2 linked regions of the Stegostoma tigrinum genome follow. The protein of the gene in region 1 purifies or fractionates together with the protein of each later gene. This does not show direct contact. Links are inferred from orthologs where the notes say so. Each region holds a gene or a part of one and is shown in the gene's direction. Other genes may lie near its edges. The genes, in order: arrdc1b and hecw2b.

What was found.
Region 2: the proteins of arrdc1b (region 1) and hecw2b purify together in Homo sapiens (affinity purification with mass spectrometry; 3 studies listed by BioGRID and IntAct, counting the BioPlex papers as one, with this or other methods). This does not show direct contact. The link is inferred for Stegostoma tigrinum from reciprocal best matches to the Homo sapiens genes ARRDC1 and HECW2.

What each region holds. Positions count from the first base shown.
Region 1 is NC_081382.1:18,480,820-18,497,238, reverse strand, and holds the start of arrdc1b (arrestin domain-containing protein 1b), read left to right. Parts: upstream 1-10,151; 5' UTR 10,152-10,224; coding exon 10,225-10,342; intron 10,343-16,419. UniProt on the Homo sapiens protein: Functions as an adapter recruiting ubiquitin-protein ligases to their specific substrates. Through an ubiquitination-dependent mechanism plays for instance a role in the incorporation of SLC11A2 into extracellular vesicles.
Region 2 is NC_081360.1:32,269,104-32,285,650, forward strand, and holds the start of hecw2b (E3 ubiquitin-protein ligase HECW2), read left to right. Parts: upstream 1-8,678; 5' UTR 8,679-9,268; exon of another isoform or gene 9,269-9,462; intron 9,463-9,613; exon of another isoform or gene 9,614-10,494; intron 10,495-16,547. UniProt on the Homo sapiens protein: E3 ubiquitin-protein ligase that mediates ubiquitination of TP73. Acts to stabilize TP73 and enhance activation of transcription by TP73. Involved in the regulation of mitotic metaphase/anaphase transition.

The sequences.
Region 1 (16,419 bases):
ACAAAATCCATGCAGTCTAATTTTACAGTATCTTGTTATTCCAAAAGTGTGCATCAGCAAAGACAAAACTGTGCAGCCTTCTGCCAACAATGTATTCACCATAGCTTAAAACATAATCTCTTAAAGATGTGCTACAGTCTGAAGAACATACCAGGCATCAAGTTAAATTACACTCAATCCAGCATACACATCATTGCCTTTGAACAGAACCTTTAAGGTAATACTGCAATGGAAGAGGCTTCACAAAAGAACAACACATGAATGGACTACTTCATTTCTTCCTAGGGGAACTAACAATAGTATTGTAGGGAAATTAATGTTGCATGATCGGTTTAGTGTAATACAGATTACATTAATTAATTAATTAACATATTATGCTAATCTGTTGAAACTGTAACTAATGCAGGACATCAGAATGTGACTGCTAATTGTCACATGGCAGAGGAATGCACCACAACATTTTAAATAGACTAAAGTGGCAAACTCTGTTCAGGTTGAATGGACAGGCTACATTCTTTCACATTGTTAAGTCATGATGAAGAACACAACGTCATCAGTTGATGGAAAAGAAAAATAACGTCGGTTTTCTTTTTTATAAAAGAATTTTGATGTTTTATTTAGAAACATAATCACATTTTCAATGTATTTCTTGTTAAATTTTGTAACAGTGTGTGGTTAGTTTTGTGAGCACTGTAATTCAACTTGAACTTTGTCACTAAAATTATATATTGTTCTAGTGTACAAAGAGACCTCTCCTTTATTTATTTGGCCCTTTTAATTTGTATACACTTTGTATATATTTTAAGTATTACCTACTTTGTGATTTTATGTGTTTGCAACCAGTAAGTTTTATTTTGTTCATTCATGGCTAGGCCCGCATTTATTGCCCATCCCTAATTGCCCAGAGGGCAGTCGCCCACATTGCTGTAGATCTGGAGTCATGTGTAGGTCAGACCAGTTGGCAATTTCCTTCTCTAAAGGACATAAGTGCATAATGAGTAATTTATAGTAAAAATATTTCTGTAGTTGTGATATAGTAATGAGCAAACTTACAACTCTGTCTTTATGTTAAAGTGGCCTCATTCCAAATACTTACAGGCAGTCAGACAAAAAAAACACATCAAAGGAGGATGTCGAAAACAAACACATATTTTGGTTCTGGATGTAAGTTTGCTCGCTGAGCTGGAAGGTTAATTTTCAGACGTTTTGTCACCATTCGAGGTAACATCATCAGTGAGCCTCCGACATGTCACTGATGATGTTACCTAGAATGGTGGCGAAACGTCTGAAAACTAACCTTCCAGCTCAGCGAGCAAACTTACATCCAGAACCTCAACCTGAGCTACAAATCTTCTCAAAACTTGCTAACATATTTTGGTGTTTTAGGTGTTTGATTTCATGAGGCTTTTGTATCGATTAAGCAAAATCTGAGTTGATGACCTAGAAACATAGAAGATAGGGGCAGAAGGAGGCCATTCATACCTTCGAGCCTGCTCCACCAGTCAACATTATCATGGCTGATCATCCAACTCAACAGCCTAATTCTGCTTTCTCCTCATAACCTCTGATTCCATTCACCACAAGTGCCATATCTACCTGCCTCTTGAATACATTCAATGTTTTGGCATCAACTACTTCCTGTGGTAATAAATTCCACAGGCTTATCACTCTCTGGATGAAAAAAATGTCTCCTCATCTCTGTTCTAAATGGTCTACCCTGAATCCTCAGACTGTGACCACTGGTTCTGGACACAACCACCATTGGGAACATCCTCCCTGCATCTACCCTGTCCAGTCCTGTTAGAATTTTATTAGTCTTTGTGAGATACTCTCTTCATTCAGAACTCCAGCAAAAACAATCCTAACCTAATCAATCTTGCCTCATAAGTATCATTCTTGGGGAAATGACAGCATGACAAGAAATGACATTCCCTGTTTTGAAACAAATGGGCAAAGAAGATATCGTAAAATGTCTTTGTTATCTCAGTGGTAAGTTTTTAAATGAAACGAAATGATAGGTTAAGCTTTAATTTGATTTGATTGACTTATCGTTACATGTACCTAAGAACAGTGAAAAAGTTTTGTTTACAAGCAGTACAGACAGATCATAGTATGCAAGGACATACAGATCATAGGGTGAGAAAAAAAATACTAGACCAAAGCATACAAGTTACATTGCACAAGGTGTATGCTAGGCAAGAACAATGTTAGTAAGTTTGGCATTATTTGAAGTTAGAGAGTCCATTCATCAGTCTAATAATGGCAGGGAAGAAGCCATTCTTGAACCTGCTAGTGCACGTGTTCAAGCTTCTGTATCTTCTGCCTGACAGGAAAGGTTGTAGGAGAGCATTACCAGGGTGATATGAATCTTTGATGATGTTGGCAGCATTTTCATGGCAATGGGCTGTGTAAATGGAGTCCATGGATGGAAGGTTGGCTTCTGTGATGGTTTGAGTTGTGCACACAACCTTCTCTGACTCCATAGGGTCCTGGATAGAGCTGTTGCTGTACAAGACCATTATGTACCTGGGCAATATGCTTTCAATGGTGCATCCATAAAAGTTGGTGAAGGACATTGTGGACATGCCAAATTTCCTGAACCACCCGAAGATGCAGAGGCATTGTTGTACCTTCTTAACCTTCTCATCTACATGGGAAGTCCAGGACAGATTGTCAGTTATTGTTACTCCTAGGAACTTGATGCTCTCCACCCTCTCAACGTCAGCACTGTTGATGTAGCCGGGGGGTGGGGGGGGGGGCGCGTGGGGGGTGTTCTACTCCCTTCTTTCTGAAGCTTATGATCAGTTTGCAGACATTGAGAGAGAAGTTGTTCTCATTGCACAACATCTCCAAGCCTTTCTGTACTCTGAAATAAATAGGGAGATTCTCTCTGGTGGATGAAATCTAAACAAGCAATCAATGGATAATGGAAAGTATTGCAGTAGGCAATTGTTACTTTCAAAGAAGCCATTAAGAAATCACCTATATATCACCTGGCTCATCCAAGATTGACCATGCACTGTGCATGCATCACCTAGATAACTAAAAATCTAATCATGTAATACTGAGGCAGATTGAGGTTCAGAGACCTCCCTGATCATGCCATCGGTTGTGGCTTAGAAAGGGTTAACAAGTTCTACATTTCAAGTCCTACATGTGCGTGGAAAGGGAAAGGCAAAAGGTATAAAGGCAACTTGGACATCGGTATTCCAATGAGGAGAAGCTAAGTCCACTGTCAGGTTAAGTGTAAGTTCTGAAATAAAAACAGAAATTGCAGGAGAAACTCAGCAGGTCTGGCAGCCCCAGTAGACTGAAAAGTTTGTGGTCCTTCTACTGAATTGCAGAATACCATAAATGACTCGAATAAATGAATTTAAGTTGGCAACAAAAACAGAAGTTCAGTTCCTCAGTTCTGAAGAAGGGTCACTGAACCCAAAACGTTAACTCTGATTTCTCTCCACAGACCTGCTGAGCCTTTCCAGTAATTTATGTTTACCTTTCTGATTTCCAACATCTGCAGTTCTTTTAGTGTGAATTTAAGTCGATGATGAATTCACTCAGTACCCAGTCTTAGTCACTCACATTTGGTGTTCACTCGATCCCAGTAGAATCCCAAGTGTCCTGGTTTGGTTTTCTAGAAATGTGATTATACATTTGTTTGGTTGTCCTAGAATTATTTTGTTCAAAAGACCAGTTTGCGGGGTCCTTCCCTTTGGCAGAATCAGCAAGTTAGGACAATGCTGCATCCAGTAATCATCAGGTTATCATTTACAAATCGGCATATACAAGGACTGAGCTGACTGGTTTGTTTGCTGAACTATTCTTAGCTGAAAGTTGAATTATATCTAACAACAGGCAATTTAAAAGTTATCCATCAATAAAGCTGTTACAAAAATGTCTGGCGGTTTTAATCTTTCTCATACGTAACATGGGTGGCTGGCAGGAATTATACAAACAAATCCAGAAACAATAAATCATTTCCATTGTTCAAGCGGGGTGTGTTATCTCAAATTACTCACTGCTCGAGGTCATGTTTCAGTTCATAGGGAGTGGGAATTTGTTTGTTTCAGATCCAAATTTTGCATTGGACACAGGCAAAGTACTGACTAGTAAATTATAACTACAGTGTGTGACATTTAATTGATAGGGACTGGGCTACATTTAGTTGTTACAATATTGCCCCAATGACTAGTTGTGGAGTTAACCACTGAAAACTGGTGTAGGTCTGACGCAAATAGCCTCATGCAGTGTTGCAAATGATTAAGGAAATAAAGGCTGTGAAAAACAACCCAACAGCCCAACCACATCAGTCTGTATAGAGAATCTAAAGCATTTGCACGAAATGTACTCATTGAGAGAATTCAAAATTATTTTGTTCCTTCTCAGAAATGAAAAGAGTGTGCAGAAGAAATTCTGCTTGTCCAGCAGTGTCTGTGAAGTAAAGAAACGAAGTTAATGCTTCAGTTCCGAAATTACTCTCTGTTCTTAACTGAATGGTCTGGAAAATGGAGGCTATTATGCTGTTCATAAAGGGAAGTTCTGGGATGTCGTCATTGGTGAATGGATTAAATGGTGATGGTGCCCAGAACAAAACAGGAGTTCGTATAAGAGTTATACTTGACTTAGGGTCAGCGAATCATACAGCTGTACCTCATGGAAACAGACCCTTCAGTCCAAATCATTCATGCTGACTACTTATCCTAAATTAATTTAGTTCCATTTGCCAGTATTTGAAACATATCCCTCTAAACCCTTCCTACACATAAACCCGTCCAGATGTTTTTCAATTTCTCAACTCAAACTCGACTCATTAGCTTCTCCACAGGTGCTTCCAGACCAGCTGAGCTTCTCCAGCACTTTGTTTTTATTTCAGATGGCTAGCTTTCACAGTATTTTGCTTTTATTTGACATAGTGCTGACGATATTCAAGATGGAAAATAGAGGTTAGTGATCATTATGAGTGGCTGAAAATAGTATGGAGCTGGAGGAACACAGCAGGCCAGGCAGCATCAGAGGAGCCAGAAAGCTGAAGTTTTGGATCAGGACCCTTGAAGAAGGGTCCCAACCCGAAATGTCAGCTTTCCTGCTCCTCTGATGCTGCCTGGCCTGCCGCGCTCCTCCAGCTCTATGCTGTGTTATTTCAGACTCCAGCATTGGCAGTTCATGCTGTCTCTGGTTGAAAATAGTAGGTAGGTTTTGTTGAGGGCATGCCTCTGTAAACAAGACACTGGGGGTGCTGATGTCTTTAACATGGAGTATAGTGTTCATGCTCATAGAGTAATAGACTTTTTACAGTATGGAAAGAGGCATTTCAGCCCACTGTATCATCAACATCCAATTATTCTAATTCAATTTTCTAGCACTTAATTTGTTGCTTTATTTGCATTTCAAGTGTTCATTGAAATAGTTTTTAAGGTTTTGTGTGCTCCCTCTTATACCACCCAGTTAGGTAGTGAGTTCCAGAAACCTGCTGGCTGAAAAAATCTTTTCCTCAATCTCCTCTAAATCACCTGCTCTTTACATTAACACTGTGCCCACAGTTATTGAGCTATTTGAACTAAGAAGAAACATTTATTCCAAAATACCCTGTCTATGGACAACTTAACTGTGTGCACCTCGATCAGATACTCTGTGTTAGTCTTCTCTGCTTAAAGAAAACAACCCTACGAAGATACTACACACCCCAACACACTCATCGCGCTACCTTACATCAGGAACACATCTGAACTGACCACAAGACTCCTACGACCATTGGGCATAAGAGTAGCACACAAACCCACATCAACCCTATGACAACTGCTCACCAGAACCAAAGACCGACTACCCACTCTGGGGAGGACCAATGTCATATACAAAATTCCCTGCAGAGACTGTGACAAACACTACATTGGACAAACAGGAAGGAAATTAACAAGGGTACACGAACATCAGTTGGCTACAAAAAGACACGACCAATACTCGGTCATCTCTATCCATATAGATAAAGAACACCCCAATTCGACTGGGACAAGCAAAGCAGAGACAAGCACAGGAATTCCTAGAAGCCTGGTATTCCACCAGGAAAGCCATCAACAAACACATAGAGCTCAACCCCATATACACTCCACTGTGAAGGAAAACCGGAAGTGAGGTAATCCAGCTCAATGGACTCCAGAGGTTAAATAACAGGCAGGAAAACACAATAGCACTTCATCGGAGGCTGCACTGGTGTTGTTACCTAGCAGGGTAATGAAGCTTCTGCGGAACAACAAACCAGCTCAGCCAGCCAACCAGTCAAAACATCCCCAATCTGAGCTACAAATCTACTCCTACACCTTAAAAACAACCAGGCTGTCTAGATTCTTTTCATCTCTAAATCACCTCAGCTTAGACAACATCCTGGTGAATCTCCTCTTTACCCTTTTGAGGCTCTAAAGTTGTTGAACACAATGTTGTATCCAGAAGGTGAGACCATAAGAGAATAGGAACAGGAGCAGGTCATTTGGCCCATTCAGCCTGCTCTGCCATTCAATTGGATAGTGACTGATCTGAAAATCCTCACTTTCCTGTCCTTTTCCCTTACCCTGTGATTCGCTACTGATCAAGAATCCTATCTAAGCCTTAAAATATACAGATAGATTCTGGGCCCCACAACTCTGCGTGGCATGGAGCCCAAAGACGCTCAATCTTCTGAGAGATGAAATTCCTCCTCATCTTAGTCTTAAATTGATGCCCCTTTTATTCTGAGACTATGTCCTCTCACATAGGGAAAAACATCCTCTCAGCAGTTACCCTGTTACATCTTTTCAGAATTCTACACGTTTCACTAGGCACACCTCTCATTCTTCTGCACTCCAATGAGTATAGTACATAGAACATTGAACTGTACAGCACAGCACAGGCCCTTCAGCCCACAATATGGTGCTGAACTTTTGCCCTAGACCTAAGGTCTATCCAACCTCAACCCCTACCTTATACTATCATCCATATGCCTACCTAATAGCCGCTTAAATGCCCCTAATGAGGCCGACTCCACTACCCTCTCTAGAAATGCATTCCATGCCCCTACCACTCTATGAGTAAAGACCCTACCTCTGTTGTCTCCCCTCTATCTACCTCCACTAACTTTAAAACTATGTCTGCTCATAGTAGCTACCTCCACCGTAGACAGTCTCTGGCTGTCCATTCTATCTATACTTCTGATCATTTTGTCCACCTGTATCAAGTACCTCTCATCCTTCATCATTCTGAAGAGAAAAGCCCTAGCTCTCTCAACCTTTCCTCATATGGCCTTCCCTCCATTCCAGGCAACATCCTGGTAAAACTCCTCTGCACCTTTTCCAACACTTCCATATCTTTCCTGTAATGACGGAACCCCAGAACTGGACACAATATTCCAGATGTGTCCGAACCAGGGTTTTGTATAGTTGGAGCATAACTTCATGGCTCTTGAACTCAATCCCTCTATTATTGAAAGCTAACACACCATACACCTTCTTTACAACTCTATCCACCTGAGTGGCAGCTTTCAGGGAACTTTGGACATGAACTCCAAGATCCCTCCGCTCCTCCACACTGCCAAGAATCTTTTCATTAACCCTGTATTCGGCTTTCAAGTTTGTCCTTGCAAAATGAATCATGTCACACTTTTCAGGGTTAAGCTCCATCTGCCACTTTTCAGCCCAGCTCTGCATCCTATCAATGACCCTTTGTAACCTAGAACAGCCCTCCGGACTATCCACAACACGACCCAATTTTGTATCGTCCACGAACTTACTAATCCACCTTTCCACTCCTACATCCAAATCATTTACAAAAATCACAAATAGAAAGAGGACCCAGGACAAATCCTTCTAGTACACCACTCATAACTGTGCACCATGTTGATTATTTTCCGTCCACCAATTCTGAATCCAATCTGCCACATTTCCACCTATCCCATGTCTCCTTACTTTCTGCGTGAGTCTACCATGGGGAAAATTATCAAATGCCTTACTTAAATCCATGTATACCACATCCACTGCTCTACCTTTCTCCATGTGTTTGGTCACCTCTTCAAAGAATTTAATAAGGCTTGTGAGGCCTGATCTACCCCTCACAAATCCATGCCATTTGTGTCAATCAGATAATTCCCTGCTTTTACTGACAAAATATCAATGGGAAAGTGGGACAGTACTGTCAACCAGCTTGTAGCTGATGTCCATTTCAAGCCCACCGACTCCCACAGCTACCTAGAATACACCTCCTCCCACCCACCCTCCTGCAAAAATTCCATCCCCTATTCCCAATTCCTCCGCCTCCGCCGCATCTGCTCCCACGACGAGACATTCCACTCCCGCACATCCCAGATGTCCAAATTCTTCAAGGACCGCAACTTGCCCCCCACAGTGATCGAGAACGCCCTTGACCGCGTCTCCCGTATTTCCCGCAACACGTTTCTCACACCCCGCCCCTGCCACAACCGCACAAAGAGGATCCCCCTCGTTCTCACACACCACCCCACCAACCTCCGGATACAACGCATCATCCTCCGACACTTCCGCCATCTACAATCCGACCCCACCACCCAAGACATTTTTCCATCCCCACCCCTGTCTGCTTTCCGGAGAGACCACTCTCTCCGTGACTCCCTTGTTCGCTCCACACTGCCCTCCAACCCCACCACACCCGGCACCTTCCCCTGCAACCACAGGATATGCTAAACTTGCCCCCACACCTCCCCCCTCACCCCTATCCCAGGCCCCAAGATGACATTCCACATTAAGCAGAGGATCACCTGCACATCTGCCAATGTGGTATACTGCATCCACTGTACACAGTGTGGCTTCCTCTACATTGGGGAAACCAAGCGGAGGCTTGGAGACCGCTTTGCAGAACACCTCCGCTCAGGTCGCAACAAACTACTGCACCTCCCAGTCGCAAACCATTTCCACTCCCCCTCCCATTCTTTAGATGACATGTCCATCATGGGCCTCCTGCAGTGCCACAATGATGCCACCCAAAGGTTGCAGGAACAGCAACTCATATTCCGCCTGGGAACCCTGCAGCCTAATGGTATCAATATGGACTTCACCAGTTTCAAAATCTCCCCTTCCCCAACTGCATCCCTAAACCCGTCCAGTTCGTCCCCTCTCCCCACTGCACCACACAACCAGCCCAGTTCCTCCACTCCAACCACTGCATCCCAAAACCAGTCCAACCTGTCTCCGCCTCCCTAACCTGTTCTTCCTCTCACCCATCCCTTCCTCCCACCCCAAGCCGCACCCCCATCTACCTACTAACCTCATCCCATCTCCTTGACCTGTCCGTCTTCCCTGGACTGACCTATCCCCTCCCTACCTCCCCACCTATACTCTCTCCACCTATCTTCTTTTCTCTCCATCTTCGGTCCGCCTCCCCCTCTCTCCCTATTTATTCCAGAACCCTCACCACATCCCCCTCTCTGATGAAGGGTCTAGGCCCGAAATGTCAGCTTTTGTGCTCCTGAGATGCTGCTTGGCCTGCTGTGTTCACCCAGCCTCACATTTTGTTGTCTGGGACAGTACTGTGATGTCCCTTGCTCTATTGTCAGGAAAGAGGTGAATGTGTTTAATAAATTCACAATTATTTATACAATGAACAAACTTCCACTTGTACAACAGATCCAAATAATCCCCTGATGCTCATCTGTGACATGGACTGATATTCATTCTCAGAAACTAATTAAAACTTGCTGTCTTTACTGGTTAACTACAGTCCCACTCACAGTTGTGCTAGTCTGTATGAAAATACCGTGCTCACCCGTGGGGTAAATTTGTGTTCCTCTTACTAAAGAACAGAGGATGTTGGAAATCTAAAGCAAAAACAGAAACTGCTGGACAATCTCAGCGGGTCTGGCGAGAGAGAAAACAGTGTTCAGAAACAGACGCTGCTGGGCAATCTCAGCAGCTTTGGCAGCATCTGTGGAGAGAGAAAACAGAGTTAAAGTTTCGAGTGCAGTGACGCTTCGCCAGAAGAGCAGAATACAGTAGATTGTCGAGTGTTATCTGTTATTCACACGTTTGGCATGACTTGACACATTATTTGCTACACGTCAGGCATGTGGGCGGGGCTCCTTAGCGTGTGCACAGTGCGGTCGATGCGTGTCCCTGGAATGCAGCGGGACGGGCGTTTTGTTGACGTCGCGGATCGGGGCGGGTGCGGAGACGTGAGGGCGTCGCGTTCTACCTTTCCGGTTCAGTCCGGCGGTGGCTCGCGGCTTGGAGTATGGGGAAAGTTCAGGAGTTGAGCGTCGTCTTGAAGGACAACAAAGTGGTCTACAGCCCCGGCGAGTTCATCACCGGCGAAGTGAGAGTCAAGCTGGCTGCGCATCTCAACTTCAAAGGTCGGTCGGCCGGTCTGTCTGTATGTTCCCCCCCCCCTCCCCCCCACACCCTTCTCCCGTTAGCGGGTCGAGGAGTGAGGAGGGCTGGTTGAGGGGGCTACTGAAGTTCAGCCCCTGGAGGCGACGGTTGGGTCGGCGCGCTGAGCTGCTTCCGGGTCTGGCAGGCTCAGGGAAGTTGGAGGGACAGGAGTCCTCTGTGGAAGTGAGACCTTTACAGGTGGCAAGTGAGACAAGTTGGGAGGGAGCGAGCAAGAACGGCAAAGGCACTCAGTCTGCCGGCGAGCTAAAAAGACACCAAGCTTTGAAGCGTTCGTGTCCGATGAGGAATTTTAGAGTCCCGAATCTGGAGAAGTGCCCTGAGGGTTTTGTTTTATTTGTAGCGGTCAGACAAGATTGAAGAGAAGCCGTTAGGATTCCTTTTTGTCACCCATATTTGTGGTGGTTTAAAGCTTTTGGAAGGATTAAGAGGAATTAATAGTGTTATAATGTACTTCAGAGAGCAAGCTTTTGCATCATTTCAAATAACTAATCACCGCAGTCATTTCTGTCATAAACTGGGTAATGTTTGAATGTTTTATAAATGTTCTGAACTCTAATGGAAAATTGAAGCTGTATATTTAATATACCTAAAACCTAATGTACATTTTTATTTTGTTTTTTGACGCAGAATTGTATTGCTATCCAAAATATGAATGTCATGGGCTTGTCTAATGGCAATTAGTTACTGGAAACCAATAGCTAGCTTACTGGACATAACAAATGATGTAGGGTGGAGTTTAACAAACGGTTGAAAATGGGTTATCAGTAATCCAGCGCAGGGCTTTGATCAGATAAAGTGAGAAAAGTCTGATAGGTTTGACACTTGAGTCCATGATGTAATTGCTAACAGATGTCAAAATTTATTGATGTAATTGAAACCTGTATCTAGTTTTGAGTGAGTGTTCATGGGACGTGATGTAGAATTTCAGGCTTTTTAATTTTAAAAAAACTACATGGATTATTCGTTTTTGTATTTATTCATGTTGAGATTGGTTAAACATGGTAATTTGGACACAACTTAATGTTCCAGCTGTTTTATGTGCACCAGATAGTTTGGAGAAGTCATACATGCACTGTGCATTGAAAACTTTTTTTTTGTTTAGTAACTCGTATGTAAGAAGCATCTGGAGAAGTGATCATAGATGTACGGCATGGAAACAGACCCTTTTGTTCCAAATTGTCCAAGCTAACCAGATTTCCTTGATAAAACTAGTCCCATTTGGCCCATATCCTACTAAACCATTCCTCTTTTTTTCCCATTCAGATGCCTTCTAAATGTTGTAATTGTACCCCCCTTCACAACCCTCCTTTGGCAGCTCATTCCATACTTGCACCACCCTCTGCATGAAGATGTTACCCCTTGGGTCCCTTTTAAATCTTTTCCCTCCTCTCACCTTAAACCTGTGCCCTCTAGATTTTGACTCCTCCATCCCAGGGAAAAGTCTTTTTCTATTTTACCATATCCATGCCCCTCATGATTTTATAAAGTTCTATAAGGTTGCCCCTCAGCCTTTGATGCTCCTGGGAAAAGCCTATTCAGCCTCTCCCTATAGTTTAAACTTTCCAACCGTGGCAATATTGGTGAAAGGTAAATAGTCACTGGCTATAAAGCAAAAGGATAGGCAGTGTGAGTTAAGTTAATCAGTGCAGTGCTTCTTGAGATATTTGCAGATTTAGGAAGGGAGTTTAAAATGAGAGAGGTTCTTATTCTGCCATGCTGAGGTGAAGCTGATGGGATCCTGAAAGCCCTGTTGAGAAGTTTGGAACATTTTGGTTGAAGGCTGAGGGCTGGAAGGAATTGACTTAGTGAAGCATTATTATAAGTAACCTGATTAGAGACCAGACTCTCTTTCCCTGCATTGTTGCTGTGAAAAACTATTAGTAAAGCTAAGGAATAACCAAGTTTTTGCAAAGATTGCTTAAACACTCATTTGGTGCCCATTTACTTAATTAGTGAGCTTTGTATTCGCTCTTTACAGCCCATATACTGAGAGCAAATAACCTTATTTCTGCCTTATGCCTAGTTCCTAAGTCAACATTCACTGTGTGAATGACAACAGGCTCAGTTAGTTCTTAGTAAATCTGTGGCTTAACTACATCTTCATTCTGAGATCACTATCTTTCCCTAACAAAGTCTATCAGCTTTGGTTTTAAAAGTTTCAGTTAAGGTACTGTCAGATTTTTTGGGGTTGGAAAGAGAAGACTTCCTTTGCGTGAAGAAGTGCAGTATAGGATCACCCTGATTGTTTTATCCCTATGTTCCCTGACCCTATTGCATCTCTAAATCATCTGAAAGTCCTCATTCAGATTGTCCCATTATTATTCTTAATTTTGGCAAGCATAGATATATTCTATAAACTTGTATTCTAATTTAATCTGTGTATCTGTGTCCTTTTGAACTGTCTTGAATGTGGAACTCCAAACAGATTTAACCAAAGTTCCACATGTCTTGATATAAATTCCAGACCCTTTGGAATGAGGGCCAGCATTTCATTCATCTTTAAATTATTATTTGAAGTTGTCCACAAGCTTTTATTGATAGCTGTACTATGACTTCCTTAATTTCTCCACTCATTCACAGCTTCTACCTTCTTTCCATTTCGAAAATACTTTGATTTCTCTTTTTTTTTCAGGTCCTTTTGACATCAAACTCGATATGGTGCAGTTATATCCACTTACTTAACAGGGTCACTGGTCAGAGAATTATCTGTGCTATTCAGCCTGAGGACAATGGTGCACAACCACAACTTGCTTCTGTATCACATCCCTAATGTAAAGCAAAGTTCCATGGTGTTTCACAAACTAAAAGTGTGTGCAAAAGATCATTGCTGAACTACCAAAGGAAATTATAGGAAACGTGACCAAGGCTTGTGGATGAGAGTTTCAAGTAGGGAGGAGATGGTAAAGGGAGAAGACGGGTGAGTGAGGGTCCTTGTGATTCAAAGCACCACTCCAAGGGCCATGCACATAGAGGACAGATGCCAGAGTCAGAAATATAGACTTTGTAGGGTTCTGATTTAGTGAAGGCAATGTGGAATTCTCTCAGGGAAGATAAACTAGTAAACGAGTTCAGAACATGCTTTAAACTGGTGGCATTAAGTATATTTGTAGAGGCAGAAAAATGATTGTAATTTGGTGTGGACAGGATGGATAAGTGTTTCAGGTGAGCTGAAGATCATAGACCCCAACCTGAAGACTTGGTAGCAGTTAAGCCTTAAATTCAAAAAGATATGTTTGAATGCTTGAGTAGCACCTTGTCTATCTCCATCCCTGCCATAGCCAATGTTAGTGCTAAGAGTCAGCAGTCTGTAGTGAGAGGAATTGGGTTGGAACACAGTTTGACATTTAGCTGTAAACAGTCTGATTCTACCTAGGTACTGTGGCCAGATGAGTCATAGATTTGACAACAGCAAGATTATGATAAGAACAGGAGATATTGGCTTGGTCTTTGTATGTTTAAATGGGAGAAATTGATATAGTGGGATGTCAGATGTGAAATCTCCCAATGCAAAGATAATGGCGGAGTTAGGAGAAATATTAGAGCTAGGAGCAGCCAACACATATGACATTTGACCAGATTTCTGATCTTGACCAACAGCAAAGTGTTAGCAAAATAGATTGACCTAAGCATAAAGGTGTTTTGCAAGAACAGAAACCATGGTCGATTTTGACTATGATTGGACCACAAAGAATGGAACCAAGTAAATGTCATTCTACTGAGCTATAAAATGAATAGTTGATGTTTGAGGACAGAATTGTAGTTGATCAACCATTTTAAAGGCTGCAGAAAGATCGTCAATGCACCGTGGTTCAGAGGATGTCGTTTATGATGTGTTGAAAGCTATTTTGCTGTACGTGGAAACCTGATTAATGAAACATGAGCATGAGGTTTTGAGAAACCTGACTTGGGATGTAAAAACACATTCCTGATTTTATAAGGGATAAAGAATTAAACTGTGGTTTAAAGATCTGAAGAGGCCAGTACTTTTTTTGAGTAAATAATGACCTCAAAAGGGAGTGGGTGTGAAGTCATCTAAGGGATGAGAACCATTTATAGAATCAAATAGAGAAGATGGTTAGTAAGATAATCTCTGTAAGGCAATAACTGTCATAAGCAATAATAAAATCAAGAAAATAAACCTGGTTTCATAATTAAGATAAAAGACAAGAATAGCGCAGACTAACATCTCCCCTGTATGCTGCATTTATGAAAATATGGACAGGGCACAATGGTACAGGAAAACATTCAGATAGGTGGAGCTGGGAGAGCGAGGTGAAGTTCATAGGAATAATGGGAATCTAGTGGTAATAGGACACAGCATAGTTGAGGGTTAGATATGGTTCTTTGCATTGAGTGAGGGACAGCAGACTGTGCCTGTCTTGTGCTCGGTAGTGGGAGGGAAGCAATGAGTGGTTACAATTCACGCCTGTACCAGTGACATAGGTGTAGCTAAGAAAAAGGTTCTGCTAAGAGAATGAGAGCAACCGGGGTTAAATTAAAACAGCACTGCGGGGGTTTAGTTCTCTGTTATCTGAGGCGCAAGCAAGTTAGCTTAAGTTAAATAAAATGAGTGACATGAATACGAGCATCAAAAGATTCGTGCGAGCGGGATAGGTTTCAATTTCTGGAGCATTGATTCCAGCATTGAGGAAATCGTATCTGTATAGTTGGAACAATCCCTAATTCCCTAGAGAGAAGTTCAGAATCAGCCACATTGCTGTGGGTCTGGAGTCACGTAGGCCAGACCAGATTGCCAGCATTTGGCTCATATCCCCCGAAACACTTCCCATTCATATACCCTTCCAGATGCCTTTCAAATTTGTAATTGTACCTGCCTTCACCACCTCTTCTGGCAACTGGTTCTGTATGTGCTCCACCCTCTGCTTGAAAAAATTGCTCTTCAGGTCCTCTTAAGTCTTTCCTCACTCAACTTAAAGCTATGGCCTCTAGCTTTGGACTCCCCTACCCTAGGCTGTTCACCCTGTCACTCACACCATGCCCCTTATGATTTATATGAACCTCTATACGGTCACTTGTCAGGCTCCAATGCTCCAGGTTAAATAGCCCCAGCCTATTCAGCCTCTCCCTATAACAAAAATCCTCCAACCTGGCAACATCCTTGTAAATCTTTTCTGCAGCCTCAAGTTTAATAATATCCTTCCTATAGAAGGGTGACCAGAATTATACGCAGTATTCTAAAAGTAGCCTCACCAATTTTCTGTACAGATGCAACATAATGTCCCAACTCCTATACTCAGTGTCTGACCAATGAAGACAAATGTGCGAATCACCAGCCTTGTGTACCTGTCACTCCACTTTCAAGGAACTGTTCGATCTTTCTTCAGCAGTATTACCAGGGCCCTACCATTAACTGGTTAAGTCCTGTCCTGAGTTACCTTACCGAAATGCAACACCTCACATTTATCTAAATTAACCTCGTTCTGTGACTCCTTGGCAGTTGACCTATCTGATCCAGGTTCTGTTGTTCTGAGCTAATTTTTCACTGCCCACTACACCACCTGTTTAAGTGTAATCTGCAAACTTACTAACCATATCTCACATATATTCACATCCAGAAAATTTTATATACATGACAAAAAGCAGTCGACCCAGCACCAATCCTTGGGACACACTGCTGGTCACAGGCCTCCAGTCTGAAAAGCAATGCTCTACCAGTACCCTCTGTCTCTTACTGTCAAGCTAATTTTGCATCCAGTTGGCTAGCTCCCCTGATCTCATATGATCTCACCTTACTAACTGGTCAAACTTGCGAAACCTTGTCTCTTTGCTGAAGTCCATTAGACAGCGTCTACCAGTGTGCCTTCATTGGCTTTTTTGAAGAGGTGACTAAGGAGATTAATCAAGTTATGGTTTCCCACACACCCACAGTATGTTGACTATCCCTAATCAGTCCTTTTCCAAATGCATGTTAATCCTGTCCCTCAGAAGCCCCTCCAACAACTTATCCACCACTCATCTAACGTTCTCTGGCCTCTAGTTCCCTGGCTTTTCCTTACAGCCTTTCTTGAATAACGGC
Region 2 (16,547 bases), on another chromosome or scaffold:
CTATCTTTGTGCCATTAATAAACTAGTGACCGTACATCTGACTCCTTCATCCATGTAAATGTAAATAGTTGAGGAACTCCATTCGTTACATCCTGGCACTTTAAAATGACTCATTTGTCCCTACTCTCTGCTTCCTTGTAGTTTGCCAATCTTCTATGCATGCTGATATGTTGCACTGTACACCATGAACTCTTATTTTGTGTGCTGACCTTTTATGTGGCATCTTACCAAATGTCTTTTGGAAATCCAAGTCCATCATTATTACAGGTTCCCCATTATTCATGTTACTTATTCCTGTCTCAAAGAAGTCTAATCAGTTAGTCAAACATGGTTTCCATTTCACAAAATCATGTTGAATCTACCTGATTGCACTATGATTTTCTAAGTGCCATGCGATAACCTCCTTAGTAACAGATTCTAGTGACGCAGAACGTGGGAAATAAAGAAAACATCTTTGAAAATGTCCATTTTACAGAAGAGGAAGTGCTGGACATCCTAAAATGCATAAAGGTGGATAAAACCCCTGGACCTTACCAGGTGTATCTTAGAACTCTGTGGGAAGCAAGGGAAGTGTTTGCTGGGACCCTTGCTGAGATATTTGTATCATCGATAGCCACAGGTAAAGTGGTGGAAGACTGGAGGTCGTCTAATGTAGTGTCACTATTTAATAAAGGTGGTAATGAAAAGCCAGGGAGCTATAGATTGGTAAGCCTGACATTGACGATGAGCAGGTTATTGGAGGAAATCCTAAGGGACAGGATTTACATGTACTTGGAAAGGCAAGAACTGATTAAGGATAGTCAACACGGCTTTATGCATGGGAAATTGTGTTTCACTAACTTGGTTGAGTTTTTTGAAGAGTAATGATGAGGATTGTTGATGGCAGAGCAGTAGATGTGATCTATATAGACTTCAGTAAGATGTTCGACAAGGTCTGCATGGTAGACTGGTTAGCACGGTTCGATCACATAGAATACAGAGAGATCTAGCCATTTGGATACAGAACTAGCTTAAAGGTAGAAGACAGAGGGTGTTGGTGAAGAGTTGCTTTTCAGACCAGAGGCCTGTGACCAGTTGTGTGTCACAAGGATTGGTGCTGAGTCCACTGATTTTTGTCATTTATATAAATGATTTGGATGTGAACATAGGAGGTATGGTTAGATTAGATTACCTACAGTGTGGAAACAGGCCCTTCAGCCCAACAGGTCTGCACTGCCCCTTGAAGCGGCCCACCCAGACCCATCCCCCTATAACCCCCACACACACCACTGAACACTATGGGCAATTTTAGCATGGTCAATCCACCGAGCCTGCACATCTTTGGACTGTGGGAGGAAACTGGAGCACCCAGAGGGAACCCACGCAGACACGGGGAGAATGTGTAAACTCCACACAGACAGTCACCCAAGGCTAGAATTGAACCCGGGTCCCTGGCATTGTGAGGCTGCAGTGCTAACCACTGAGCCACCGTGCCGTCCCAAAGTATGTTAGTAAGTTTGCAGATGGTACCAAGATTGGAGGTGTAGTGGACGGCAAAAAAGTTTACCTTAGAGTACAATGGGATCTTGATCAGATCGACCAATGGGCCAAGGAGTGGCAAGATGGAGTTTAATTTAGATAAATGTGAGGTGCTGCACTTTGGAAAGGCAAATCAGGATAGGACTTATACACTTAATGATAAGGTCCTGGGAATGATCCTGAACAAAGAGACCTTGCTATGCAGGTTCATATTTCCTTGAAAGTGAAATCTTACGTGGGCAGGATAGGAAAGAAGGCATTTGGTATGTTTGCCTTTATTGGTCAGTGCATTGAGTTTTGGAGTTGGGAGGTCATTTTGCAGCTGTACAAGGCCTTAGTTCGGCCACTTTTTGAATACTGTGTGCAATTCTGGTCTCCCTACTATAGCAAGGATGTTGTGAAACTTCAAAGGGGTTAGAAAGAGTTTACAAGGATGTTGCCAAGGTTGGAGGGTTTGAGCTTTAGGGAGAGGCTGAATAGGCTGGGGCTATTTTCCCTGGAGCATTGGAGGTTGAGGGGATGACCTTATAGAGGTTTGTAAAATCATGAGAGGCATGGATAGGGTGAATAGCCAAGGTGTTTTTCCCCCACGGTGAGGGAGTCCAGAACTACAGGGCATATAATTAAGTTGAGAGGGGAAAAATTTAAAAGGGACCTAAGGGGCAACTTTTTCATGCAGAAGGTGGTGCCTGTATGGAATGCTAGAGGACGTGGTAGAGGATGGTACAATTACAACATTTAAAAGACATCTGGATGTGTGTCTGAATAGGAAGGATTTAGATTGAAATGGACCAAATGCTAGCAAATGGGACTTAGATTAATTTAGGAAACCTGGTCAGCAATGATGAGTTGGACCAAAGGGTCCGTTTTCTTGCTGTACAACTCTATGATTCTTTATCAATGATAGACTAATTGGCCTGTAATTTCCTGTTACCTGTCTTCCTCCTTTCATGAATATAGAGGTCATATTTGCTGTACACCAAAGTGATGGGACCTTTCTGGAATCCAGAGATATTTGGAAAATTACAAGCAATACATCTATTATAATAGCAAATACTGATCAGCTCCTTTCCCAGGAGACTATAATTGTTTTAGGTTCCTCCCCCATTTTTACCTCTTGATTTACAAGTAATTCTGGGATTTTTTTATGTCTTCTAAGGAGAAGATGGGCACACAATATATATTCAACACATCTGCCATTTCCTAATTTCTGTTATTAATTTGTCAAATCACTTGCTACTTGATTACTGGTCATTTTAGTTACTCTCTTTTATTTTAAATACCTGTAGAAACTCTTAGCTATTTTTCATATTTCTTGTTAACTTTCTCATGCCCTTTATTTTCTCCCAGTTTTTGGTCATATTTTCTTTTTAATTTGATAGTATCTTTAACCTCCTTTGTTAGGAAATGATGCATGCTTCTCAAGTCTTTCTCACAGGATTGTAGCGTTTGTGGATGTTATGAAACATCTCTTTAAATGGCTTTCACGCTTAACCTGATTTCTCAGTTCACTTTAGCAAACTTTGTTAGCAAACCTTTGTAATTGCCTTTAAGTTTGAAATCTTTAGTCTTTTTTCCACCCCTCTCTCCCTGAAAGTGAATGTAAAATTCTATTGTATCAGAGATAATGGGAACTGCAGATGCTGGAGAATCCAAGATAATAAAGTGTGAAGCTGGATGAACACAGCAGGCCAAGCAGCATCTCAGGAGCACAAAAGCTGACGTTTCAGGCCTAGACTCTTCATCAAAGAGGGGGATGGGGTGAGGGTTCTGGAATAAATAGGGAGAGAGAGGGAGGCGGACCGAAGATGGAGAGAAAAGAAGATCGGTGGAGAGGAGAGTATAGGTGGGGAGGTATGGAGGGGATAGGTCAGTCCAGGTAAGACGGACAGGTCAAGGAGGTGGGATGAGGTTAGTAGGTAGGAGATGGAGGTGCGGCTTGGGGTGGGAGGAAGGGATGGATGAGAGGAAGAACAGGTTAGGGAGGCAGAGACAGGCTGGGCTTGTTTTGGGATGCAGTGGGGGGAGGGGATGAGCTGGGCTGGTTGTGTGATGCAGTGGGGAAAGGGGAGATTTTGAAGCTGGTGAAGTCCACATTGATACCATTGGGCTGCAGGGTTCCCAAGCAGAATATGAGTTGCTGTTCCTGCAACCTTCGGGTGGCATCATTATGGCACTGCAGGAAGCATGATGGACATGTCATCTAAAGAATGGGAGGGGGAGTTGAAATGGTTCGCGACTGGGAGGTGCAGTTGTTTATTGCGAACCGAGCGGAGGTGTTCTGCAAAGCGGTCCCCAAGCGGAGGCTTCACACTTTATTATCCTGTAAAATTCTGTTGTGTTGTGATCATTGTTACCAAGCGGCTCTTTAGCTATGAGGTTATTAAGAAGCGTCATATCAAACTCAAAATGTTACCTCTTTCCGCCGCCACAGATGTTGCTGAGTTTCTCCAGCACTTTCTTTTTATTTCCTTCCATCATCCGTAGTACTTTGCTTTTATTAATTAATTCTGTCCTGTTGCATATTACGGGGTACAGAAAAGCCGGCTGTCTGGCTCCAGAATATGTTCCAAAATTGTCCCAAAACATGCTTACCTCATCTTCTAGATTACCTTTGATAATCTGATTTGTTCAATCAATATATAAAATAAAATAACCTACTATTACTGTCATAACAAACTCAGAAAATGCTGAAGAAACTCATCAACCTCTTTTGTCTGGCTGAGCTTGTTATCATTTTGAACAACTTCTCATTTAACTCATCTCATTTTCTCCAAATTAAAGTTGTGGCAATGAATACACACATGGGTCCCAGTCATGCCTGTCTCTTTGTGAGATACGTGCAACATTCTTTGCCTCAGTTTCAGACAACCCCACACTCAACTCTTTCTCTGGTACATTGATGATGCCTTCAGTGCTGCCTCCTGCTTTTCTCCAGAATTGGAAGAATTAATTAGTTTTGCTTTGTATTTCCATCGTTCTTTCACTTTCACCTGGTCCACTTTTGACTCTTCCCTTCCCTTCCTTGATTTCAATATTTACATTTCTGACGGAAAGCTTTCCACCAATATCCATTACAACTCGCCTGCAGTTACCTTGACTACACTTCCTCATACAATGCTGCCTGCATGGATTCCTTTCCATTCTCCCAGTTTCCCCAACTCCATTGCATACATTTTGATGATGCCATCTCCCACCAGGCTGCATCTGAAATGATTCCCTTTTTTCTCAATTGAGCATTCCCTCCATTGTGGTTGACAGGGCCTTGAACTGTGTCTGACCCATCTCCCATCATTCTGCTCTCATCCCTTCCCCTCTTCCCTGAACAATGATAGTGTTTTCCATGTCCTTACTTTCCAACTCACTAGTCTCCCCTGCTATTTTAGCCACCACCATACACATCTTCCTCTTCCATCCAATATCAGTATTTGCAGGGACTGTTCCTTCCATGACACCCTGGTCTGCCTTCCATCACTTCTAACACTTCCTCACTCCCCCATGGTACCTTGCCAAGCAATTGCACAAGGCATAATACTTACCCATTCACCTTCTCCCTGTACAAGGTCCCAAGTACACCTTCCAGATGAAGCAGTGTTTTATTTGTCCTTCTTTCAATCTAGTCTACAGTGTTCACAACCACAGTTCACTACAGCGCTCTCCTTTACCAAATGCAGACTGGGTGACTGTTTTGCAGAACACCTCCACTCTATCCATTGGGACTACCCTGACCTCTCCATTGCTGGCCTTTACAATAAACCACCTTGTTCTCATGCTAACATTTCTGTCCTGGGTTTGCTGCAATGTTTCAAATAAGCATAACATTAGCTTGAGGAACAACACCATTTTCACACTGAGGCACTTTGCAGGTCTCAGTATTGAACTTAATAACTGCTCACATTATGTCAGTTCTTCATTTTTCTTACATTATCTCCCCACCCCCTACCCCAACCCTCAGGCCTTCTCTGTGCCTTGTTCACTTTACATTTAGTTGAGAAGTCCAATTCTCTCTTGACACTTTAATTTCCACCCATTTTATATCTTTTTATTTTTCTCCACCATTAACAACCCCTTTGTCTTTTGCACTGAGTGAACTCCTCTGTCAAACGTATATATAAAAAAAGCATTTTCCAACACCTTTCAGTTCCAAAGAAATCATACGGTCTGGAAACACAATCTTTGTTTTTCACTCTGTAGATGCTGCCAGATCTGCTGAGTTTCTCCAGCAACCTCTGTGTTTGTTTTGGATTTCCAGCAACGCAGACATTTTGCTTTCTTCTGAATGATCACTGCTATGGCTTTCTCGTAAGTCCCTGATATTTCTTCCTGTTAGCGAGTTTTGAGAAGATTTGTAGCTCAGGTTGAGTTTCTGGATGTGAGTTTGCTCGCTGAGCTGGAAGTTAGTTTTCAGACGTTTCATCACCATTCTAGGTAACATCATCAGTGAGCCTCCGACGAAGCGCTGGTGTTATGTCCCGCTTTCTATTTATCTGGTTAGGTTTCCTGGGGTTGATTATGTCATTTCCTGTGTTGGTGATGTCATTTCCTGTTCCTTTTCTCAGGGGATGGTAGATTGGCTCCAAGTCAATGTGTTTGTTGTTGGAGTTCCGGTTGGAATGCCATGCTTCTAGGAATTCTCATGCGTGTCTCTGTTTGGCTTGTCCTAGGATGGATGTGTTGTCCCAATCAAAGTGGTGTCCTTCCTCATCTGTATGTAAGTATACGAGTGATAGTGGGTCATGTCGTTTTGTGGCTAGTTGATGTTCATGTTTCCTGGTGGCTAGCTTTCTACCTGTTTGTCCAATGTAGTGTATGTCACAGTTCTTGCAAGGTATTTTGTAGATGATGGTGATAATGGGAACTGCAGATGCTGGAGAATCCAAGATAATAAAGTGTGAAGCTGGATGAACACAGCAGGCCAAGCAGCATCTCACGAGCACAAAAGCTGACGTTTCGGGCCTAGACCCTTCATCAGGTCTCTGATGAAGGGTCTAGGACTGAAACGTCAGCTTTTGTGCTCCTGAGATGCTGCTTGGCCTGCTGTGTTCATCCAGCTTCACACTATTATTTTGTAGATGACATTCGTTTTGCTTGTGTCTGTAAAGAGTCTTCTAAGTTCATTAGCTGCTGTTTTAGTGTGTTGGTGGGTTTGTGGGCTACCCGGATGCCAAGTGGTCCGAGTAGTCTGGCAGTCATTTCCAAAATGTCTTTGATGTAGGGGAGAGTGGTTATGGTTTCTGAGCCCGTTTTGTCTGTTTGTTTGGGTTTGTTGCTGAGAAATCGGCGGACTGTGTTCTTTGGGTACCCGTTCTTTTTGAATACGCTGTATAGGTGTACTTCCTATATGCTCTACCCTCTATTGTCTCTTCTCTAAGGGTTGTGATTTGAAACTGTACTTCAGAATTTGTGTGTATAATTTAGACTGATGTTCTATAAATCATGATTCTGGTTTGTGTTCATACTCTAATGTACAACTATTTGAAGTGACCAGGGTCGCACATCTTCAAGCAAGATTGCTGGACACATTAACTGGTAATTTGTGTTATTCCAGTTTGTGAGGTCTTGCTATGTGGCATATTTTAAACATTATTTTATTTTGAAGAAACGCACTCACTTGTTGGTAAATGCTACAGTTATTTGGTACACGTGCCACAATAACCTAATTGTTCAAAGACTGGATGATGAAGAAAAGTTGGACGAGGGACTATGGAATTCACATACTGTGAATGCTGGAGAAACTCAGCAGGCCTGGTAGCTCCCGTGAAGAAAGAAACGGAGTTCACGTTTCGAGTCCAGTATGATTCTTCTTCAGAACCAACAGAATTCTGTATTCGCCTCCTTCAAATACTGTCATTGTATCTCGACAGAGCTTCAGTTTCATATTCCAGCTGCAGGTTAGCGCTACCTACGAGTGGAGGTGCCGGTGTTGGACTAGGGTAGAGAGAATCATAGCTAACATGGTAATAGTCCAACAGGTTTACTTGAAATCGCAAGCCTTTGGAATCACTTCACCTAATGAAAGAGCAGCACTTCGAAAACTTGTGATTTCAAATAAACCTACCGGACTAGAGCCTGATGCTGTGTGACATCTTGAACTCGTGCACTATTATCTTAGCGCAGGAGGTGGCAGAACAATTAAGGTAGCACAAGCTGATACAAGTCTTCCTTTGAAATGAACGTCATGATACTGTATTTTGTAAGCTTCAACTTTATAATACATATAATCCATGGAGATAAGTAGGTCTGCCTACCCAGTAATTTATCTGTCTCCCCAGTGAGTTAGAACTTTAGCACTGATTTATATTTAGGGATGATTGTAAATATATATTGACTGCGGCCCTTGGTAGCACCCTCCAATTTTCCTGTTCCTTCTTGTGTTAAGGTATTTGGCCTTCATGTGATCACTCCCAGTTATACTAGGCCATGGGAATTTAATAAAGGGGTGGAAATGCTCTCCACTGTGCCAGGGTTGCGTGTGTTTGTTGCTTATTCTGTTCTACCTCTGTCTTCCCTTTACTGTTCAAACTATTCTCGTAGGGCACCTGTTCGACTTTCTGGTAAACGGGCTGCTCTCTGATGAACGGTCTAGGCCCGAAACGTCAGCTTTTGTGCTCCTGAAATGCTGCTTGGCCTGCTGTGTTCATCCAGCCTCACATTTTATTATCTTGGATTCTCCAGCATCTGCAGTTCCCATTATCTCTGCTGCAATTTATGTTGGTCACTGGCTGGATTAACTTCACAGCTGCACATTTTACAGTGAGGGAAATGGATGGCCAACTCTACAGAAAGGACTGAGAGCCGATTAAGGAAAACCCAGTAATTTGGTGCCCTAATCCCTTGTGGGCACTATCCTTGCAATCTTCACCCTGCATAAAACACAGGCGACGGTGCTACTCACCAGCCCTTCGATCTGGTCTGATCTGAATGGCGATGCGTCTTTTCTGGAAACCTGAAACAAGATAAAGCTGCGGGATCATACTGTAAATCTCCACCTGCTGCATCACGGTTATTTCTCTTCCCTTCACACCCCCCACCCCATCCCCTCGGAAAAGATGGGAAGAGCCCCCTCCCCTGCATTTCCAGTCACAGAGGGGCTCTAGCCGCGTCTGAAAGCCCCTTCTATCCGTGCACTGAAGCTTGCCGACCCTTTGACAGCCGCTGGAGTGTGGTCTTGGCGAAGTGGGAGGAGCCCTCCCGCCCCCTGTGTGAATGACACACAGGAATCCCGCCCAAACCTGGACCCCGGCTGCTTGAATGTAGGGAGAAGGGAAAGAGAGAGAGACAGGAGGCCGAGAGCAACTCGGCTGGGCTGCAGAGAGACCGCGGCGGCGTCTGCTTGGGGATGAGGAGCCGGCCGTGACCCGACGTCGGGAGAAGGAGGTGGGAACAGCGGCGAGGCAAACATGCTGCAGCAGAAAACAGGCGGCGGGCATGGGGGGGACGATTCCCGAACACCTCCAGCGGAAGATCTGCATCGCTTGCAATAACGACGAGCCCGGGATGTATATATTTCTCCCTCGATTTTAGAGCAAAGAAAAAGGAAGGAGGGAGGGAGGGAGTGTGTGTGTGCGGACAAAGTAAGACCAGTTGGGAGCATTAGAATTAGAAACCCAGTCTGAAGGCTGCGGGAAGAGGGACTGAAGCCTGTTAGCAGCCGCATTGAGTGCTGCTGGAGACGGAAAGACTTCCTGCGTCTTCCTGAGATTGCTGGGCTGCTCGGGATGACAGGATTGAGTACATCTTTCTCCCTGAGGTAAGTAATCGCTCCATTCCAACTCCATCCCTCACTCCCGGTCTGTCGGTGAATCTGATGCAGGATCTGAGGCCGGAGTTTCCTCCTCTCCTGGTCCTGGGGGAAGTCTCTCTGGGATAGTCCCCGGGCCTGGGATCGGCGACGGGAGAGAAACTTGCAACAGATCGCCGTCCCTAACCAGAGCGGCCGGCATTCTGCAATTATCAATAAGATACATATATATAAAAATAATATTTAATGACGTGTTTTTGAATCAGTTCTGATGTGAAAGGGTTTTTGTCCAGGTATTTTTGTGGATCCCATCTGTATCACTCCTCCCTCCAGTGGTATTCGGGTGGTGCTCACCTGTTTTTTTCCGAAAAGATGTTTTTATTTTGGCTCGCCTGTGTTAGCCCACCTTCGTGGCCCCGCCTCGTCCCCGGAGCGGGGTTTGGTTGTGTCTAGGGAGGTGGGGAGCCTTTGGTTGTGTCCAGACAATGCGACATTGGTTTGGAGCTATCCCCCCTCCGTCCCCACCCCCTCCGGCAGCGACTCCTCCGTCACATCACCTCACAGCTGTTTACACAGACCGCCGCGTTATCGCGCTGCTGGCCGGGCTTCGGGGAGGTGGCGGAAAGGACGAAGTGGGGTTGTCGCGCCGCTGGGGAGGTAAAACAGTCTCCCGTCGAGTTGGTAAATAATCCACCGGCTTCACTCGCCTTCAGGGACTCTCTCTCCACTCGCCCTCATTGGGCGCCTCGGGCAGACCAGTGCCTAAACGCAATAATAACATCTTTCTGATATAGTGGTGGAGGTTTCCCCTTGGGGTGTGTTGCTTCATCTGGCGTGTAAATAGTCAATCGTCCCGTCTCCACGAACTTTGACAGGGTTGATCACACCATCCAGTGACAGGGTTTTCTTGCAGCAGCACCCGCCACCGTCCTTACGCCTGGCAGTAAAATCACCTGCAATGCTTTCTCTTTCCTTGCACTGCAACCTCTGGTGCTTTCGTAGAAGTAATCTTTTATCTCCTGTTTCTACGACATTCTGTACCTTGACGACATTACACACCAGTCTTTGCTTCCATTGACAGCAACACTCGGCTCTATCAGTTTTCTCAAATACTGTTGCAGTATTAGATTGCCTGTTCAACATTGAGAGCTGGATGGGCGGAAATTTCCTTCCATTAACTATGAAACCACCTCTTGCTTGGAACTCTGTTCCCTAGCTACCAATTCCATCTCTAGCCTGACAACTATTCAGGGCTGAAGCAGACTGATCAGAAATACTTGATTTTGGCAGGAGGTCCCAACCCACATACCTGCACCCTCCCCAATTCTTACTTCTAATGCTGCCCAACTCCATCTCTGCCTCGGCTAATCTCTTGCCAAACATTTTATCACCACATTCTGGAATGCCTCAACTCGGCGAATGCTGAAACCCTCATCCATGCCTCTGTTATCTCTACTCTTGACTACTAATTCTTGGCAAGCTTCCCACATTCTACCCTCTGTAAACTCAAAGTCATTCAAATCTATGCTGTCTGTTTCCTATCAAATTTCTTTCACTGATCATTCCTTTGATTGCTGTTTCTGCTTAAGCAGCACCTCATATTTTAGAATTCTTCTTAGCCTTGTTTTCAAATCTCTCCATGACTTCGACTTTCACTGTCTAATTTCTTCTCACTCTGGGATAGCTGAACTCATGGCCTGTTGAGCATCCCCAATTTTAATTGTTTCAAAGTTGGGGAACATACCATGCTTCAAACATAACATCTGGAATTCCCGATCTAAAACCCTGCGACACACCTTAGAACTTACCTCTTTGATAATCACTCCTAATGTCTCAATCACTAATGACTCAGTCACCCCATGACTCAGTGTCAAATTTGAGCCAGTGGTTAGCACTGCTGCCTCACAATACCGGTGACTTAGGTTTGATTCCAGCCGCGGGCAACTGTGTGGAGGTTGCATGTTATCCCTATGTCTGCGTGAGTTTCTGCTGGATGCTCTGGTTTCCTCCCATAGTCAACAGATGTGCAAGTTAGGTGGCCTGGCTATACTAAAATCCCCGATTGTGACAAGGGATGGGCTGGCGAGATGGATTAACAATGGGGGATGCTGTATCTGGTTGGGATGCTGTTCAGACAGTCGGCTCAGACTCGATGGGCAAATAGCCTCTGTCTGCGCAGTAGGGATTCTATGAAATTTTTGCTTTAGTGAAGAATTTTAGGACATTTTACTATATTAAAGGTACTACGTAAATGCAAGTTTAGTTTGATTGGACCATTAGTTTGTTATGTTAGCAGTGCACTTAAGTGGGCTCTTGTGGTGCTGTAAAGTGAAAGAAAAACAGAATGTGCTGCAACTACTTAACTGGTCAAGCAGCTTTTGTGGACAGTGATGTGACCCTGTTAAGTTTAAAAGATTTAGATTCCCAGTGATGGTCTGAAAGGAATTGCACAAAATATAATATTTCAAAACTCTTACTGGAACAAACAAACTAAAATCAACATTGATCAAATATTATTTAGGCAACCAATACTCTGAACTGCAGACAAACCACCCTTTATGTCCATTTTAATATACTGAAAAATTCCTTGCCAGAGTTATACTTGCAGCATCCTCTCCATAGAATCTTAATTCTTTTGTACAGGAAATGTAAGAATAGGTGTAGGTCATTCAGCCGCTGAGTCTGTGCTGCCTTTTAAAATGACTGATCGAACATCAGTGTCTTTTACCCATGTTATCCCCAAACCATCTGTGCCATTCAGAATCAAAAAAATGACCAACTTCTACTTTAATGATACTCAAAGTCTCAGCTTCCACAGCCCTCTGGGGCGGATTAATCACCCTCATTAATGGAATATTGTCCTTACCTTGGCCCTAAATGGCATCACTTATTATTATTTTGTGCTCCCTGGTTCAAGACTCCCTCTTACTTGCATCTACCCTGTCAATTCCTTTGAGTATTTTGTAGGATTTCAGTAAGATCTGTTACTCTTTGAAACTCTAGAGAAGACCAGTCCAGTTTGCCCAATCTCTTGTCACAGGACAAACCTGCCATCCTGGAAGCAGGTCTGATGAATCTTTGTGGCACTCCATCTATGGCATAGATAAAGGAGACCGAAGTTGGACGCAGTGCTCCAGGTGTGATCTAACCAAGCTCCTATATAATTGAAGCAAGACTTTACTATTCCTGGACTGAAATCCTCTTGAGATGAAGGCTCATCTTCCATTTGGCTTCTTAACAGCTTGCTGCACCTGCATCTTAGCCTTCAGTGATTTAGTTAGAAAGACACCCTTCACACATCTATACCTCCAACTCTCTTACCATTCGACAAGTAGCCTGCACAACTGTTCTTCTGTCCAAAACCTCTCCTCCTCCTTAAGGACAGGGTTGTGCTTAGCTGTGATGTAATGTACAGTTGATCCTGTCTCTTGTTGTCATCAATTTTACTTAATCATCATAAGACAGCAAAAGTAAGTTTCTGCATGACAGGTCTGAACAAGAAAATTATGTATGCAGTGGAGTGAGAATACTGCACAACATAAAACATGAAAATGGTTAAACAAAGCCTTCAGTAAAGGCAATACTCTGGATAAGAAATGCTCTGATTTAAACATTTGTTAAAAGCTCATAATGTTGAAATCTACAAAACAAAATATTTCAAATCCCTAGAAAATTAATTTACATTCTTCTGGCATTTGCAAACTGCCATTGCTCGAAAAGTTAGTTACCTGGTGGCAATATTATTCATTGGTACAATTCAAATTAATTGTTTTGGCTGACAATAATAGACTTGACATCGACATTCTGTTTTAATATCACTGACCTTACATGATGCATTAGTTGACCGTCAACTTGCTTGGCAATTGCCAGTTCTGTTCAGATCTAGAAATTGGCTGGCATTCCTTTTGTTATTGATTTAAAGCACAGAGATATGCTTGACATAACTCAGTGAGTGCAGTATGTTCTTCACATTGATGGTCAAAACTGAACATTGCAAAGCAGTATTCTCATCTTTTTAATGCTGTGTTCTTCTCAAAGGGATGACTATATTTTTTAACTACTAGCCTTAACTGTTCATTCTTTGGGTTTTAATATTGTGATTTCTTTTCTACAGAAGGAGTGGGATGAAAAATACATATTCTCCATCACATTTAGCAGTATATTTTTCATTAGTAGACTTAAAGAGTATGTAAACTGTAATTCCATTGTGAAGTATTTTGCCTCCGAATCACAAGGATTGGGCGAGCGATGGCCTAGTGGTGTTATTGCTGGACTATTAATCCAGAGACCCAGGTAATGTTCTGGGGAGCTGGGTTCAAATCCCACCACAGGCAGATGGTGGAATTTAAATTCAATAAAAATATATGGACTTAAGAATCTAATGATAACCTTGATGTCAATTGTTGAAAAAACCCATCTGGTTCACTAATGTTCTTTAGGGAAGGAAACTGCCATCCTTACCTGGTCAGGCCTACATGTGATTTCAGACCCACAGCAATGTAGTTAACTGTCAACTGACCTTTGGGCATTTAGGGATGGGCAAAAAATGCTGCGTGCCCAGTGACACCCTCATCCCGTGAATGAATTTTTAAAAAAATTAGGTTTATGTCCAACATGAGGTCTTGACAATCTAAAATATCCTGTGGCACAATATCAAAGAAGAGCAGAGGAGTTATCTCAGGTGGCTTGTTCTATATTTATCAATGATTTCTTAAACACATGGATAAAATGTGTATACACACACAGGTGTCCCTACACCATAAACTGAAAGAGAACTGTCCATTTATTCTCTCCTGCCAGCATTGATTGACAATGAATATTGTCATATAGAGTTTAATGGTTCTAAATCAAATTGATCTGAGGTTAGTAAATTTGCGGATTACACCAAAATTAGTGGTATAGTCAACAGTGAAGAAGGCAATCTAAGATTAGAAAGGGATCTTGATCAATTGAGCCAGTGGACTGAGGAGTGGCAAATGGAATTTAATTTGGATATTGCGAGCTAATGTATTTTGGTAAAACGAACAAGAGCAGGACTTATACTGTTTATGGTAAGGCCTTGGGTAGTGTTATTGAACAGAGAAGCTGAAGGGTTCAGGTACGTAGCTCTTTGAGAGTTGTGTCACAGGTGGACAGAATGGTTGTGAAGGCATTTAGCACACTGGCCTTCCTTGTTCAGACCATTGAGTGTAGGAGTTGGGATATTGTGATGAGGTTGTACAGGACATAGGTGAGGCCACTTTTGGAGCACTGTGTACAGCTCTGGTCGCTTTGCTATAGGAAGGATATTATTAAATTGAAGAGCGTTCAGAAAAGATTTACCAGCATGTTGCTGGGACTAGAAGGTTTGAGTTATAAGGAAAGGCTTGGTAGCCTGGGGCTTATTTCACTGCAGCTTAGGAAGTTGAGGGCTGACTTTGTAGATGTTTACAAAATCATTAGAAGTCTGATTAAGATGAATAGCACAGATCTTTTCCCTCAGGTGGGCGAGTTCCAAAGTAGGGGGCATATTTTTAAGATGAGAGGAGAAGGATTTAAAAAGGACCTGAGGGGCAACTTTTTTGCACAAAGGGTGGTTCGTACATGGAATGAACTGCCAGAGGAAGTGGTAGATGCTTGTAGTTAGAACATTTAAAAGACATTTGGATAGGCACATGAATAGGAAAGATTTGGAAGGATATGGGCCAAATGAGGGAAATGGGACTAGTTTGGTTCAGAAAGCTTGGTTGGCATGGACGAGTTGGACCGAAGGGTCAGTTTCTGTGCTATATGACGTTGAGATGGTCTTGTGACCAAGTCATACATGCAAAAGCTAAAACTGTACTTTGTGATACAACTATCCAGGCTTCATTGTGGAAAATTTTCTAGCCCTGATATTTGTAAAGAGTTCAATTTTCTGTATAATCTGACATAATATATTTCTCAATACAGTCAATGGCCAGATTGTTTTTCAGAAGAATGTTAGAATTTGTTTCACAAGCTATGACTGTGAATCAGAAGACATTAAATGAAAAAAGGAGCATGTATGCTGGAAATCAGAAACAAAAACAGAAATTGCTGGAAAAATGCAGGCCATGTGATGACAAGGTCTGTGATAATGGGAACTGCAGATGCTGGAGGATCCAAGATAATAAAATGTGAGGCTGGATGAACACAGCAGGCCCAGCAACATATCAGGAGCACAAAAGCTGACATTTCGGGCCTAGACCCTTCATCAGAGATGGGGATGGGGTGAGGGTTCTGGAATAAATAGGGAGAGAGGGGGAGGCGGACCGAAGATGGAGAGAAAAGAAGATAGGTGGAGAGGAGAGTATAGGTGGGGAGGTAGGGAGGGGATAGGTCAGTCCAGGGAAGACGGACCGGTCAAGGAGGTGGGATGAGGTTAGTAGGTAGGAGATGGAGGTGCGGCTTGGGGTGGGAGGAAGGGATGGGTGAGAGGAAGAACAGGTTAGGGAGGCAGAGACAGGTTGGACTGGTTTTGGGATGCAGTGGGTGGAGGGGAAGAGCTGGGCTGGTAGTGTGGTGCAGTGGGGGGAGGGGACGAACTGGGCTGGTTTTGGGATGTGGTGGGGGAAGGGGAGATTTTGAAGCTGGTGAAGTCCACATTGATACCATTGGGCTGCAGGGTTCCCAAGCGGAATATGAGTTGCTGTTCCTGCAACCTTCGGGTGGCATCATTGTGGCACTGCAGGAGGCCCATGGTCTAGTGTGTTAGGATTGGGGTAAGAGCATGAGTGAAAAAAGAAATTCTGTTCAAGAATCCTTGGGAACCTTGTGGCCTTCGGGATCCAGTATTGAATTCAGTAATCTTAGGGCTTGGAGCACCTTCTCCTGTGTCCTTAACCCAACCGCATACACCAGACCTTGTCATCACATGGTTTGCTACCATGTCCACCACTTGAGGACCCGAGGCAGACCTTTATCTTTGTCTGCTAAACTGTCTGTTTTTTTTTCTTTCTTTCTCTCCAGGTTCCATCTCCACCAAGTCCTTTATGCCTTACTGCCTCTCCCCACTCCATCTTCAGCATGTATACCAATATTTTCCTAGCTAGAATCAGTTCTGAAGGAAGGTCACTGGACCTTTCTTATTAACTGTGCTTTCTATCCACAGATGCTACCAGACATGCTGAATTTTTCCAGCATCTTCTGTTTTTGATTCAGAAGACATCACCCTGGCTGCATTGCTTATTAGAGCGAGGCTTGAACCCACAACCTTCTGACTCTAGCACAGGAGCACCACTACAGCTGACAGCCCTTATTTTTGCAATCTGTTAATGACACATATTCA